Linked DNA regions of Struthio camelus. The protein of the gene in region 1 interacts with the protein of each later gene in a pairwise test. Links are inferred from orthologs where the notes say so. Each region holds a gene or a part of one and is shown on either strand. Other genes may lie near its edges.

Region 1 (7,661 bases):
TTGAACAATATAATCGGTGTCTTAAAAGAGCTACCTACCTCATCACCTAACTGCTTTAATGCTTAAGCCCTCCCAGGTCCTGACTATCTCCATTACTCCCTCTGTAAACTGGCTTTTTATATTTACCTGCCTCACAGAAAGCGAGGTGGAGATTAATTAACACATGGAAGAGCATTTGGAGGGATTCACTTAAAGGCACAACAGAAGTGAAGAGCAATGTAAGCAGCTTCTGCTCGCATGGGAAACACACCTGCATCTCTGATAAAACGATCAGCTGCAGAATTGTAGAGGTCTCCTGGCAGTCCAACTTTTTGGGTACGTATTATTTATTTGTACGGCATGACTGTCTCGTTGATATAAGAGTGGGGAGGAAGAACAGCCCAAGAAGAAAACCAGAGTCAAGTATAACGCAGCAACGCAAAAGAAATAAAAGGGCCTGGAAAGCAACATCGTTGTGTATGGAAAAAAAAAAGGGGGGGGGGGAAGGTAGAGAGGTCAGCAACGAGGGGCTAGCCCAAAAGATAAAGTTGGGGCTTCAGTGCTGCATGGAGCACAGAGGGCAAGTGAAATCCATAGGCTGCCCGGTGCAGAAAGGGCCAAGGTGAAGGTTGAGACACAACATCAAGAAAGTATAAGCCCCTTTTGTAAGACTAAAAATTACAGAATTTATGCACACCACATTGAATGATCGCTAGCTTTTCTCTACCTTTTCATCCTCAGTAAGGACTTCCAAGATCTGGTAGAAGTGAGTATGTGGAAGCTAGGTACTAAACGACTAACAGATTCTCGGTGCTTAGATGCATTGCTTATGTGTGGTTTCTTCTCTAACATTTCCCTCTGTATATCCAGCAGGTCACAACACCCTTATTTTCTGATCTGTAACTGCTATCTTAAAGTCACCCCATTTCATCCCAGAGTTAGCTACATTTTACTGAAGCAATGGATTTCCTTTGTATATCGTAGTTAAAATAATTTCACCGTGTTGATAAGGTGTCATGAAGTTTTGGGGGACAGAACAAGCACTGTATTCACACACATCAGTAGCAGACCGTGTGTTACAAATAAACAAACCCAGCATACTGTTTTCTCTTTGGTTTCCCTCTTCTGCCTCAGATGTCACAGTCCAGGGGCTGTGAAATCCATCTCAATTTCACAACAGTAAACACTAAACTGTGACATTACTAAATGACTCCAGCAAGAGGCAAAGGCCAATTACAAGCAACAACTATTTATACATAATTATCTTTATAATCAACCACGGCAGGAAAAAAACTATGCAAGAGCAGACTCTGCTAAAATGTCATTTTTATCTTCTCCATTCTCAAAGTACAAAACCCACATTTGCTCTCCAGGATTTGCTTTTGGTCTGCTTTTCTATTTAAATTTCTACAGCCAAATAGAAACCCCAGAAAAATATAAATTACTAATAATTTACTAACACAATTCCAACCAATTTCCCTTTTATAACAAGGTAACTATACCGTTACAAGTGGCAACGGAGCACTTGCAAAATACCAATACATTTTTCAGAGCGCACGCTGTTCTTATTACAGTCCGATCATGACGAAAACAAAACCAAATCTTCAATTTCACTTTTGCTTTTCCACACATTTCCCCCTGCTCCAGCCCAACGCTGCACAAAGTCTGCATTGAAGGTGATTCAGGAGAACATCTGATGCAAAAAAAAACCCAAAACAAACAAGCAAGCAAACAAACAAATAAGAAAAAAACGAAAAAAAAAATAAAAAACACCCTCCAAACCAAACCTATTATTTTTAGGAATGTAACCCCCCCCCCCCCCAATAGGTTTGTCAACATTTGTGCTTATAAGCACTCCAGTAGATTTGGGACGTGTCTGACCAGTTGCTATCCCTCTAGTTTCTAAGAAGTAACGCATGCAGTGCTCAAGACTCTCCTACAATGTTAAAATAATAATTTGTCATTCCCATCAAGCGAGTTTATTTTCGTCTTTCGAATTCTCCGCGTCTCACGCGAGCTTGCCGAACACCTAAGGAAGAAATCGCTCCTCGGCCAGCAAGTATCGAAACTCGCCTCCTTCCCCCCCCCCTTTTATAAGTGTGACATGACACCAAAGTAGTCACCTGCCTTGAACTTGGCATGCAGGACACACACAGCATTTCATGGGAGATATTTCAGCTCAATACTTTAAAAGACAAAAGGGGGGGGAGGGAGGGAAAAGATCTTCAGGCAAATCAATGAGGGCAAAAGACCTAAGCGATAAATACCTAACCTCCCCCCCCCCGAAAAAAAAAGGGGGGGGGGGAAAAGGAAAACCCTAGGGCTGGGAAGTCCACCTGCTAAAATGACTACCAGCCGCTGCCTCTTTTAAAAGGACACGACTGAGAGGGCTGCGCGTCCTCCCCGACATGAATCCCAACCTTTCCTTAGCGATCCCCGCTAAAACATCCTCTTCTCGCCCAGCCGCCGCGCACCGAGCGAACAAGTTGCACGCCAGCAAACCTTCCTCGCCCACGGACAATTAATTAGCCGCGTGGATTTTAATAAAGCCACCCCGATTAGGCTCTTCTTTGAGATAGGCGTGCGGACGCAGTCCAGAGGAGGGTGGGAGAGAGAGAGGGGGGGGGAAAAAAAAGGAAAAGAAAAATCAACAGACACACACACACACGCGCAAGAAATCCACAGGAGTTGAATACTAAAAAGGTCCGTCGCTGCTCAAGTGTCATTATTTTGCTGTTTTCTTCATTTCGCCTTTCTCTTCTCCCTCTCCTCTCCCCCCCCGCCTCCTCCTCCCCCCGGAGGATTTATAATGAAATACGATCCAACTTTATTTGTATAAGATCTCCCGGGGGGGGGGGTAGGAAAAAAAAAAAAAAAACCACCACGTCCACCTTTGGGGTTGCGGTTAAAAAAAAAAATCACCAAAAAAAAAAAAAAAGAAAGGCAAGGTTTTGGGGAGTTCAACCCCGCGATTCGGGAGTTAAATAATAAATAAACGGAGGGAGAGAGAGACATTGCCGAGGGAGAGGGAAGGGAGCACGCACATTTCATAACATCCTGCTCTTCCCCTCCGAAACCCAGCGCCGTTCAGGTTAAAAAAAAAAAAATATAAAAAGTCTTTTTCAGCCACAAACAAACAAAACAAAGGCTCCGCCGCGGGCCCCCCGGCGCTCGTCCCCGAAGCCGCCACTTTACCTTGATTTATCAGTTTAAAGCTTTGGGATTTCCTGCTTCTCTTCCTCTCCGTAAACTCCATGGTGCGGGCAGGAGGGAGGAGGCAGAAAGGAAGGAGAGCGGGGATGAGGAGGGCGAGGGGCGGCCGCGCAGCCCGTCACCCAGCGGCGGCGGCAGCAGGACCAAGGTCCGTCTCTTTAATCAGCAAAAAACAAAACGGGCGCCGGGAGATGTCGGTTCCAGCCGCACGCACCGGCGGGGGGGGGGGGGGGGAAGAGCTCGGGACGAGTCGGCGGCGGCGCCGCCGCTGCCTCCCCGCGGCTCCGGCCGCCCGCCCGCCCGCCCAGGCCGCCCCTGAACTTCGCGGGGTGCCGCGGCGGGGGCGATGCCGGCCAGCGCCGCCGCCGCCGCCGCCTCCCCCGCCGCCGCCGGGCGCGCGGCCGGCGGCCAAGGGCGGCCCGCAATGGCTCACCGCTGCCGCCGGGACCCCGGTGCCACCTGCTGGGGGAAGGCGGCGCGCCCCGCGGCGGGCTCCGCCAGCCCGGCCGCAAGGCCGCCACCCCACGCCACGCCACGCCACGCCGAGGAGGAGACAGCGGCGGCGAGCGCCGCGGGGCCCCCCCCCGCCGGCGAGCAGGGCAGGGCGGGCGGCCCCGCGGCGCCTCCGCGGGGGTGGCGGAGGGTGACTGGCGGGAGAGGGGCTGCCAGGGCAGCGCCATTTTGTGTCCCCCCCCCCTCCCGCCGCCGCTGCCGCCGCCGCCGCCTCCCCGCCCTCACAGGCTCCCTCTGCCGTGCCCCGCCGCCGCGGCTGCAGGTCGCCTGCCCGCCCCGCGGGGCCCCCTCGGGCCGGCGGAGGCCGCCGCGGCGCCCTGCCGCGAAGCAGCGGCGGCCTCTCGGCGCGCGGCCTGCGCCGCCGCCCGGCCCCCGCGGCCTGGCCAGGCGGCGGCGGCGGCGGCTCCCGCCGGCTCCCCGCTGCGCCCCGGCCTCCCGCACGGGCCGCTTCGGGCGGGCAGAGCCGGAGCCGGAGTCGGAGCCGCGCAAGTTGGCGGCGCAAACCGAGCGCGCCCGGGGAGGGGGCTAAGCGGCGGCGAAATGAACGCCGGTGACGGCGTTTCGGCGTCGTCGTTCGAGCTCGGTGCCGGCTGACGTGGCCTGGCACGGTCTCTCGTGGGGACCTGGAGCGGACCCCGACCCCGGCCGGGGCTCGCGGGGCGGCTCTCCTCCCGGGGGCAGCTTTCACACAAGGCGGTTAAACACCGACCTAAAGCGGGGAGTCTCTGCTGACCGAGTAACGTTTAGTACCTCTGGCCACCGTCTAGGAGGTCCACCGTGGCCGTACAGACGCCCGTAAGCGGTTTGAAGTTAGTGCTTTACTTTACTCCCCGCTTGGCACCTTCAGCTGTATTTCAGATTCACTTATTTCACTTACGTTGGTGCTAAATTTGTTTCTGTTGTAGGTTCTCTACAGCCAGCAGCGCCTATGGCCGTTGCTGCTAGAGGAAGGCTCCGGATAACCTAAAGCTCAGGTGCAAACATAACTTTGTGTTTTAAACATAGTCAGGCTGGGCTATGACAAGGAGAAGAGTGTGGGATATCCGCACGCGCTTACTTGAACAGAAGTTAAGTGCGTATTTGTACATGGTCTAATCAAAGCCCATAGGAAAATGCCGCTGGCTTTGGTATTACTGCCTGAGCCCATCGCTAGGAATAAGGAAATAAAATTCGTAAGTAGAAAATAAATTGCCTATTAACAGTAATTATTTGTATCAATATAGACTCCAGTCAGACCTGAATTCTCTTGGGCGAGGTGGTGCCCAAACACCCAGCAGAAAGTAGACCCGGTTCCAAAAAAGCAACCAGGAAATAGGCTTAATGGTGAAGCGATCTCAGAAAACATGCCTAATGGTAAAATTTATTAGACCCAGGAAAATTAAATTCATAAGGGAGGTTATGGAAACCTCATAGATTGGGTAAGGGTGTAATTTTCTATTAAATTGCTGAGTGGAAAATCCCAGAGGCAATCAATACGCTACTTTTGGAATTTTTCTAAACTTCACTGTAAGACTTTTATAAGGAAACTGGGCTAACATACTATTTAAAATCCTACATTATATATTTTTGGGTGGTTGCTGAAGCAGCAAAGGTAGGTAGATGTCATACACTGTTTGCTAAATTATTTGGGTCCAGTTAATCTCTGCTATGATACAGAGAAGTCAGGTCTGAAATGCAACAGTAGCGTGCATTAGTTTTGTGTACAAAAAAAAGTATTTACATTTTTTTGCCAAAGAGTCTGCTGATTCTAATCTGCTAATTTTATTTACGAGACTTGAAACTGCTGAAACTGTTGTGTTTAACTGTCATCCTTATTGGGACAATAGGATAATTTTATAAAGCATAAGGCCTTCATTTACTGTTCAATTCACATGATAGGCTTTATCCTGCATTTGCCAAAGAAATGTGCTACAAAAATAAAAAAATCTTTTCTGTTTTCCTCCTGTTATTTGATTTTGTAAAACATTTTGGGATATAATTTATGAAAAAAAAAAAAAGTGAGGCCAGTGTTTCATTAACTGCTCTCTTCTTTCTCTTAGTTCTTCCTTCCTAGTCGTATATTTTTTGCTTAAAGGGACACTCATGGTTTGAGAATGGCATTTCAGGCTGAAAACAGTACATACTGTCGTTTCAAGAAACATTTTACAAGGGTTAGCACATCCTTTTTTTATCAGTATCGCTCATTTTGCTTCTTGTGCATTTGACAAAAGAGAGAGATTCACTCTTTTCATTCTATAGGATGAGCCTGATCCTGCAAAGAAAACTTAGTGTGGTAGCTCAGATGAGTAAATCCTGTGATTTTCATTTCTGACAGTATTTGCCAGTTTGGATACCTAGGCCCTGATCCTGTAATCTCATCTGCATAAAAGTGAATTAGAAACTAGGACAAGGTGACTTTAGGTCAAAGTCTTCTAGTTATCCATAGAGCATGTAGGAGGATCTGGCAGCTGAAAAACAACCTTTCCATCCTGAACTGCTAATGTTTTTCAGCCATGACTTAGAAAAAGTACTTCAAGAATTCAAAGGTTCATATAGTCCCCAGAGACAGTAAGTTGCGAGCCTCTTTTTGGGGGTGCGTTGGGGTTAGTGTCCTACAACTGGACTCATATCATCTGCTCGTTTATCACAGGCCACCATCACATTATTCTAGCTGGAGACCCAGAGATAAAAGTCGTCTTTATTCCATTAGAATGGCTGCCTTGTTTCATCCTGCATATTCAATAGCTACGTCTCCGTGGCAGCCAAATGACTTATGATAAAGTACACTGGCTCCAAAGGGCAGTCAGCTTTTAATTTCGTCTTTTATTTCAGTTAATGTCTCAATATTGGATTGTTATTATTATTATATATTAAGAAACGACAGTTCCTTTTTTTTTTTTCTGATGGAAACATGGAAAATTCACAGCATTTTGTATATATTCATGAATAGCCACAAAGTATTCCCTCAATGAAAACATTAATTAAATAATGTGTTTTTCAAAACACCATGAAATTAACTAACTAAATGGACGCCTTATCTTGCAATATATTCCAAGTCTGCATGATTATCCCTGACTATTTTCTAGTTACTGTTTTATTATGTCATAAGTTACTTTGAAAATCATTTCCCCCCTGCTTCTAACCAACATTAATTTCTCAGATAATTTTCTGGTGTGTAAAATGCTTAGTTTATTTCAGGTGCTAGATCAGTAGCTAAACAATTAAATATAATTAATCTAGTAATACAAGCAAATTACAAGTATTAATGAGAACAGTGCTCTTCACATCAGGAAGTCTCAGACTCCTTTTCTTTGCTCCCAGGCTTATCCTCAAAATGGCTGGGTTGAGTTAGTTACAATATTTTAATTGTTATTAGGAAGGTAGGATAGTGTAGGACAAACAAGAGGGACGAATCCTAGAGCTGAGAAGAATGGTATGGGGGAATTATGAACTTCTTCAGCTTTCAATTGGAAAAACTGTACTTAAAGAAGTCTTACAAACTTCGTGATTTCAGGTATTAGGTCTAATACGTCAAGGAATCCACGTGAGGTTAGGAGAAGCAAGAAGGGGCTACCAACTGTCATATTAATAGCTCTAGGATTACTACTCATTTTGGAGGTTGAAGGAGTTCTGTGTGGTATTAGAAAGCAGGAGAAGGGTGAAGGGGTAAAGGAGAGATCAAGAGTTGCATAGGTGATGGGTTAATATGTTAGCTATTTCGGCTAGTTATGTTTAATGAATGTAGCTGAGGGTTTTATAAGCTGTGGTAACAATTTTTTCTCTTGTAGGTTTCCCATGGTGTTTTTGTGGTCACACAAAATACATAGGCAGTACCTTTTGTCGGCTCCCAATTTGATGATAGGTCACTTTGATGCCATACTGTCTTACTGCAAACTTTCCTTTTCGTAGAGCTTTCATGCTGACATATCTGGGGACTGGCTCATTACAGAGGTAGGGTTCTGGGCGTTACGAAGTAG
Region 2 (8,140 bases), on another chromosome or scaffold:
AAGAATAATCGTTGCTCACAGGCATGACTCAAGGAACATGTAGGTTGAAATACATAATAAGAAAGTGCGGGGGAAATTACATATTGCAGGTAAGACTCAAGTCTCCTGGGATGTCATTCAGGAAGTCTGCTTCTTAAGCACTACATGCACTTTAAAAGTATTGAACTAACGGAAAGAATGCCATTTAATGATTTTTTCTGAGAAGTGATTACATTTGTGGCACCCAGCATTAAACGCTATAGAAAAGCTTTGACTAAATGCAAGAAATCAGTAAACCAAAAAAAGAGACACTAAGGGGAAATAAGGGAAAAAAGGAAATTAAACCAATCTCATAGATTCTGACATTTTCTTTATTTCAATTATTCTGAAATCTTTTTGCTGATTCTGGACCTCTGATTGCTTCAAATGCATGAGGAAACTTAGAGAAAGTGCTTATATCTACTAATTTGCAAAGCCTCTCTTTGGGGTTCCCAACAATTCAGAATCGGTGAACAATTTCAGATTTTTTTGCCAATTTCACTGCAGAAATTATACGGCAAAACAGATTTCAACATCTCTGACTTAGAGTCTACTGCCTTAAGATGTCCTAAACTGTACTTTCTTTTTTGTAAAGTTCAGTAAAGCATTAAGAATACAGCAACTGCAAAGACTGAAGTAACTATATGCAAAGTTAAAAAAAAAAAACACTATGATGATTGGGAGGCTCCCTTTTGGTAAGGCATTCTTCTTCTATCTTACTCTTCTAATTCTTCTATCCGACTTATAATTGCTCTTTTTTGCCCTTTTAAAAACAACCTACAAGTAGTAGCCAAACACTCTAAACAAACGTATGGTAATAAACTAGTTTTATACTCATAATAGACTGAATGCTCCAAGACGACACATTTCAGTTTCTAAGCTCCACGATATAAGACAAATTTTTGTAATTTCTGGAAAATAAAATTTCATCATACAGTATACCTAGAATAATATCCTACTCATAGAATATAAAAGCTTGGGAAATTTACAGAGGTACTTTGCTCCTTTAACTATGAAATTTAAATACCTTGATTGCTCGGATAAATCGTGCTTGCAGGCGTCTTCCCAAAAACAGCAGGTTGTCTATAGCTAAAGGAAGAAATTTCTTGTAAAATTCCTCAGGATCTTCTTTCACCTCTAGTCCCACACAACAATGACTGAAATGAGAAACACAATCCAACCTGAATAGTCCATGGCCTGTCTGAACAGCTTTGAATGAATGTCATGTCATCACAGAAGAAATGCTTGACTGGAATGAGATAATTTAGCACTGAACAACAGTTAACTGCTGTGACTAACTCCAAGGTAGCTGCCTTAGAAGGAAGAGGAATCACTGTGAGGCTGGAGACTGCAAGGATATTACTACTTACTACAGCATGCCAAGTCACTTTCCCCTTTAGTGTCACAGGACCTGTGCAGGTCTGTTCAGCATGTTAGTTAGGGGCTCTGATGGTCATCAGGAAAAAGAGTAAAATAGAAAGGCAGACATAAACCTGATAAAGTGGATGCAGACCAGGCAATGAAAATATGTATAAAAAAAATCTTCAGTGATTCTGCCTATAACTTTCCTCTACTTGAGGAATACATGTGGGCTAGAAATCAGTTCCTCAGATCTGAGTTTTATTATTTTACCTACTACAAGCATATTGGTCATTTCTGGAAGACAGTTCACAAGAAACTGCTCTGCAAGTTTCACAGTTGGGAGTTTTTTCACTCTACTCTGCACTGACACTTGTGCAACAAAAGAGTTTTCATAACTTTTCATGGATTTTGTTTTCTGACATATTATCTGAGCTGTGTTAGCTTGTTGTGAATGTGTAAATGTAGAGCTTTGCTTACTGAAGCCCTTGGAAAACAAATTCTAGGCAGAGGAAGCTGAGATTCCTGTAGTTGCAAAAGGATATTTTTGCAACTAAAATAAATTTCGTTTTTCTCTGCAAATTGAAATAGCTTACAAGAGATGCTTTAAGTATCATACGGCCCTGGTGATAAATCTTGTATTTCTTAGTGAAATTCCTAGCACTACAAATTTGTATTGCAGATATGGTATAAATACAAGATGGCTGTTTAATTTTGTCATGTCTTAGAACGTTGCTCCCTAGTTAACCCAAAATCAAGTACAACTTGGGGAAAACTTAAAAGTTAATTATTTTTCCTGACATTTAAAACTGAGATTAGATCATGGGATTCAAGTTAAAGTTGCCGTATTTGCTAGCTATGAATTAAACTACATTATGATCTTCTTAATTAAACCACTACATCAAGCTATCCGGTCTGTATTAATTGTATCCACTATTACATTTAAAATTTAAATAGATATGTTTACTCAAGCCAAGCTATGAGTTAATCAGGCTGAAGATTTTTACAAATGAATTTTAAATAACCAATTTTTTAAATAACTGCCCTTCAAAATTAGCAATTACTCAGCAAATATTGTGACATAGAAGAGTTCTGTTCACAAAAAAGGGTAAACCCAACACATACTGGTGCCACCAAACAGTTTGCACAGCTCAGTGCAACACAATGGAAACGAATTAAGCAGGACCAATTAGGCTGTGCCTGACCCCTTTGCTCTTGACTGCTCCCTGCACTTTAACCCTGGCCTTTCCTGAACAGCAAGCCTTGTTCTGGATGTGAGCCAATGCATTACAGCTTGAAAAGAAAAAGAGTAAGATGAAGGCCCAGAAGAAACAAGAAGAAAACTTCGGAGTAATTTTTCTTACCTTAGTATCTCTGCTAGCTGGGCAGCAGTAGTCCAGCCTCCCTGTAGTCGAGAATAGTCTTGTCTAAGGACCAGCATGCAGTACTGAGTAAGATCATAATAGTATATTTCTTGCTTAATTTTTTTTGATTCTTTACATCCCAAGGAAGCACTATTTAAAATTGCTGTGGGAAGAAAGCAGGAAAATGGCTAGGAGGAGCATATGAGTCTGACAAAACAATGCATTTTTTTTTTCAAAACATAAGATAATATGTGTACACACACTAGGATCAATGTAATTCTAAAAGTGGTAACATAAAACATTTCATCAGCATTTTTCACTCCTATGGCTACAATGTATTTGTTAAATTATATGACAATTAGGAAGGACAACCAAGTTTAGATTTCCATTTTCTCATTATACATTCAAGTAGTAAAACATACATTATCTGGGATGTATCCCACTCGTATGAATTTCCTAGGCCAAGTAAAACCACAATGAAAAGCCACTGTGAAACGTATAACCTCCTCGTAATTACATCCCCATTTAGAACAGGACCTAACTTGTTGCTACCGTTTCTATGGGCAGCGGATATGCGTCCAAGGGGAGGGTATGGGGACTCACGCAGGAGCTTGTGATTGTGTTTCTGCATTAAGACTTAAAAATTGCTTACTAACAATCACTCTCAGCCCCTCTGGCTCTCTACCCAAAAGCACTGGGAGAAATTATTTAACCAAGCATGAGATCCTTGCCACATTAGCACAGGCCTTACAAAAATGGTGACAACGGAGAGCGACAGAAGAGCTGCCTCCATTCCCTCTCCCTCTCATCCTCCCTTGTGCTCCCAAGCCAAATGCTACTCAGGTACAACTGTCAGGAGAAGCTATATTACCAAGCCTATGGAATTTCCAGCCCTGCTAGATATGTGGGGAAAAAACTTTCTGAATTTAACCAGACAGAAGGAAAAAAGCCTATCCATACTTCACTATCTCATCCTTTTATTTTAGAAAAGGTATTAATTACCCTTTAACTGCAGAAGCAACACCGGGACGTCCTCATCTTTGCTCTCGGTGACCTGAGCAGCCAAGGCCAGCACCCTGGGGTCCGCGGCTGCCGGCCTCGCGCTGGGTGCGTTGGCCATAGCAGGCCGAGAGGGGCCCACAACACCAGCAGCACAAGCCCAGCTCACTTTTTAATTGTTTCTGCGTAGGTTTGGGGTTCCACCACACCACCAGCCGCTGCACCACCAGCTTGGAGCTCGAGTGCTGCGAGTCTGCCCCCGAGGAAGGGGACACGCCGGGGAGAGGGGGGGCTGCTCTACCGGCCTCGGGGGGGGGGCTTGCCCCTCCCCAGTACCAGTCAGAAAGCCCCCGCGGGGCGCGGACGCCACGAGTGGGGCTGGAGCCGCGGAAGGCCCCAGCTGCCCCTGCCGTGCAGGCCCGGAGGGGCCCCTCCGCGGCCGCCCCTCGGCCCGGCCGGCAGCGGCGCCTCAGAGCCGCTCCCTCCCCCTCCACCCCCAAAACGCGCGAGGCTTCGGGGCCGTGCCACGGCCGCTCTAACGGCCGCGCGGGGCCGCTCCCACTTCGGCCGCGCGAAGGGGGGGGAGGGGGAAAGGGGAGAATGGGATGGCCGGTCCTAAAGAGGCGGTGCCGCTTCCAACCTCCACCCCGTCCTCTCCCCGCTGGTGGTCGCGGCCGCTCTCCACCAATCAGGGCGCACCCTTGAGGGAGGAGGGATTATTTGCATATCCGCCTGAGGGCTCGCCCCTCCAACCGTCCCACTCGTGGAAATCTACAGAGGGCCGCCTCGAGGCCCGAGCCCAGTCCGAGCCCGCGCCGCTGGTGACGAAGCTCTTGAAGGGGAGGAGCTCCGCCCGCGGCAGCTTGTGAGGGCTCGGGTGGGCGGGGCCTTCCCCAAGAGGCCGCCACGCCCCTTTCTCGACCCGGGGCGGGGGCAGGGAGCGAACGGCCAGTGGGGGGGGCTGGGGGGCGTGGCCGGGCGACGCTAAGGCCCCGCCCCCCGCGGCGCCGAGGGATGTTCCGTGGCGGCGGCGGCCGGGCCGGTGCTCGCCATGGTCTGAGGCGTGCGGCGGCGCCGCGATGAACGGGGCGGCCCCGCCGCTCTTCGACCCCAAGGAGCGAGTGCTGAAGCTGGGCGAGAGCTTCGAGAAGCAGCCGCGCTGCGCCTTCCACACCGTCCGCTGTGAGCGGGGCGGGGGGGGCGCCGGGGCGAGCCGAGCCAGGCCAGGCCGGGGCGGCCCCTCCTCCCTCGCCTCACGGGGACCGTTGGTCCCGGGAGACCGTTGCTCCCGGCATCGCCCGTCCGGCCCCGGTGTCGAGGGGGCGGTGGTCCGGGCACGGCCCGGCAGCAAAGGGGCCGGAGGGTGGCCGCGGCCCGGCGGAGGGGTTGGGGCGGGCCCGGGAAGCCGGCGCTGAGGCTGAGGAGGCGGCGGCGGAGGGTGGTGTTGGCCCCCGGGGGAGGAGGGCTGCGGGGCGGCCATCCGGCGGCGCCGGGTGCGGTGAAACTCCGGTGTTTGTCTGTGTTGTGGTGCCGGCGCTGGGGCCCGCTGAGGTAGGCGTTGTGCAGCCGAGCAGGAGGAAACGCTTTCCCTCGAGGAGCTTATCTTTTAAGTAGACAGGTTGTACCGGGAGTGCGGCAGAAGTGGGCAGCTGAAATACAAGAGAGCTGTAGCTAAGGCCCAGAAAGCTGAAGTGACTCGCCCGAGTTTATCTGCAGGCCCTGAGGCACACCTGGGAGCAGAGTCCCTGCTGCTTAGGTCTTAGTCCAGGGTCCTGAGCAGTGCGGTGCTGCTCAGGTTTCTGTTGCTCCAGAGGGCCCTGGAGCTAGACCAGCAAGCAAGCGTGTTGCTGGTGAGGTGTACTGCTGTGGTGTGCAAATACTGTTCCTCACTTCTTTCAGGGCACCAACTTGTTATGCTTCTTTTTGCACCTGCAATGGTGCCTTGATGCAGTTCTGCCCAAAACTGAATGGGGCTGAAGCTCTGGCTTTGTGCTATTCCCTTGTGCTTAGTTTTCAGGCACTCAGTAGAAATCCAGCAATCAAAGGTTAAAGGCAGTATTAATCACAAAGCTAGAATACCCTCCCTGAGTACATAATTATTATCTAGGGAGGTGTGTGCTCAAAGATTCTGAGGGTAGCTAGGAAACAAATGCTCTTAGGATTATAGTTCTGGTAATTTAGAACTGCTGCTTCTGTTTTTGATGTCTCATTATTTATAGACTGATCTCCAAGGTTCAGTCTCCTGTATATTCTCTGGATAACGTCCTGTATGCTCTCATACAGTGCAGTGAGATGGGTAATGTGCTTTCTGTGAGCAAACACAAATGGCGCTCGGCAGAATGGTCTGCAACTGTGGGAGGGAAGGGAAGGGGCAAAAGCTATAAGTGGGTTTAAACAAATGTGGTAACTTGAAATTTACCCTATTTCAAAGAGGACTAAAATCTCTTTGGATACCTCCTACCCTTAAGATTTCTTGCTGACTCTTGTAATCTGATGATTTATTCTGAAACCTGTTTTGAAATCTCTCTTTTAGGCCAACAAATGAGACAGAAACTGGCACATCTGTCAGTGCTGTCAAAGGCACATACATAAATATCTTTCTCGAACACCTGAGTCTTTTGTTACAGATGAGTGAAGAGGCAGACATCTGCTGGTTAAAAGTTAAGATTTGAAGTGCACATGTGGACACTGAAATCGGTATTTCAGTTTTCTAAAGTTTTGACCACCTGGTGGCTATATTTAAAGGCAAAGATCTTCTCTATTTCCCTATGAGAAACTCCAACTGTCTTATGCTTATCCTTGTAAGACCCTGTTTCGGGTTTTGTCTTCAACATTAGGTTAGTGTGGGCTGTTACCAGTGTCCTAAGCTCAAACCATTTTGCTACGTGCATATTCCTTGCCACCAGCTCTGGAAGGTTGTTTTTTTTGACCAGCTGGTGTATTAGTTGGAGCTGTGCTTCCTAAGCTGTGGTCTGTGCCAACTGGCCAGTGGGTTACAAGCAGGATTGTTTAACTGGGAAGCTCCCCAGTTGTAACAGAGGGCTGCAGCCTGGGACCAGCAGCGCATGGAGCGACAGGTTGTGTGGCAGAGAGTGTGCTGTGCTGCAGCTGGGGACGGCGCTGTCTATGGGTTCCCTTTACATGCCTAGTTCCTCTGTGTCTCTCCAGCTGTAGCAGGTTGTCTCTCCAGCATGCTACTCAAGGTACTCCTAGTCGTCCTCTGGTGTGACTGGCCCTGTGCCAGCTTGCTGGAACCACGTTTCAAACGTATTTTACGATGCCTGGCAAAGCCTCTTGATGCTGTCTTACCCTTGCCTAGCTCTGTGCATGCTGGTCTTTCATAACCTAATTCTTCTGTAGTGGAAGTAATACCTCAGAGGTAGTGATATGTTACGTAGTTACAATGCTGGTGCTGGAATGGATGTTCGTTTTTCGTGTCTCAGATTTCTGAAAAGGACCAGAAACTGATCTCTTCTTTTGTTTAAAGCTTATTTTAAGGGATACTTTAGATGTTGAAAAAGATTTTAAAAAAAGGAAATGAATATTTATTTGGGGAGTAATTACAGTATTATTATTTTGGTCAAAAAATGGAACAGAAGTCTTGGTAGGCTTCTGATGTGCCTATTATAGTAATCTGCAATGGATGCTGTAGTCAAATATTGGGGATCCATGTTGTGCTTTGCATTTTCAGTTACTTTTCTACATCTTCCATGTTTGGACTGAAATTATATCAAGAATTGTTTCTTGTTTTTCTGAAACTAGTAATGTGAGGGTTTTCTGTCTTTTAAGTGTAACACAACTAGTTCAGTCTCCTTATCCATTAAAAGCTAAAAGTGCTTTTTTAGTTTTTACCAGAAGATGTTAACACTTAGACTGGATATTGACTTTGAACTCTACTGATTTGTGGAATAATCTGATCTAGGGGATGGTAGATAATATGCTAGCGAAAAAAAGCTATAACTTAATAGCCGTCAACTTCACAGCTTTGATGTTATCCAAAATGTGCTGGTGTTTAAAAGATCCCTGAAAAGCCTGTAGATAATCCAGTTGTGTTTTTTTTTTTTTTTTAAGATGACTTTAAGCCGGCATCTATTGATACATCCTGTGAAGGAGACCTTGAAGTTGGCAAAGGTGAACAGGTGACAATAACACTGCCAAATATTGAGGTGAGTTAGCTGGCTGAAGAGTAGTTGGCATAAGGAAATGACTTATTTTGTTGTTATAAGGATATATTCAATACAGAAGGGCATGAAGTTTCAGTGCTGTTTCAGAGCTGCCTTTGTAATCTTTAAAGTATATAAAAGCAATTGCTCTAAAAATTTGAAATTACAAAAGATTTAAATGTTAAACAATTGTGCTGTGACTTTAAATGTATTCACTGTATTGGAAATATGCTGTAG

The links.
Region 2: the proteins of BEND7 (region 1) and EAF2 interact in binary tests that used the Homo sapiens proteins (3 or more experiments, as listed by UniProt). The two-hybrid records come from large-scale screens. The link is inferred for Struthio camelus from reciprocal best matches to the Homo sapiens genes BEND7 and EAF2.

Annotation. Positions count from the first base shown.
Region 1 is NC_090942.1:7,978,624-7,986,284, forward strand, and holds the start of BEND7 (BEN domain-containing protein 7), read right to left. Parts: upstream 3,474-7,661; 5' UTR 3,236-3,473; coding exon 3,175-3,235; intron 1-3,174.
Region 2 is NC_090947.1:33,110,983-33,119,122, forward strand, and holds the start of EAF2 (ELL-associated factor 2), read left to right. Parts: upstream 1-4,696; 5' UTR 4,697-4,819; coding exon 4,820-4,922; intron 4,923-7,811; coding exon 7,812-7,906; intron 7,907-8,140. Other genes in the region: IQCB1 (IQ calmodulin-binding motif-containing protein 1), read right to left, coding at 1,046-1,175, 2,742-2,904, 3,744-3,861. UniProt on the Homo sapiens protein: Acts as a transcriptional transactivator of TCEA1 elongation activity. Acts as a transcriptional transactivator of ELL and ELL2 elongation activities. Potent inducer of apoptosis in prostatic and non-prostatic cell lines.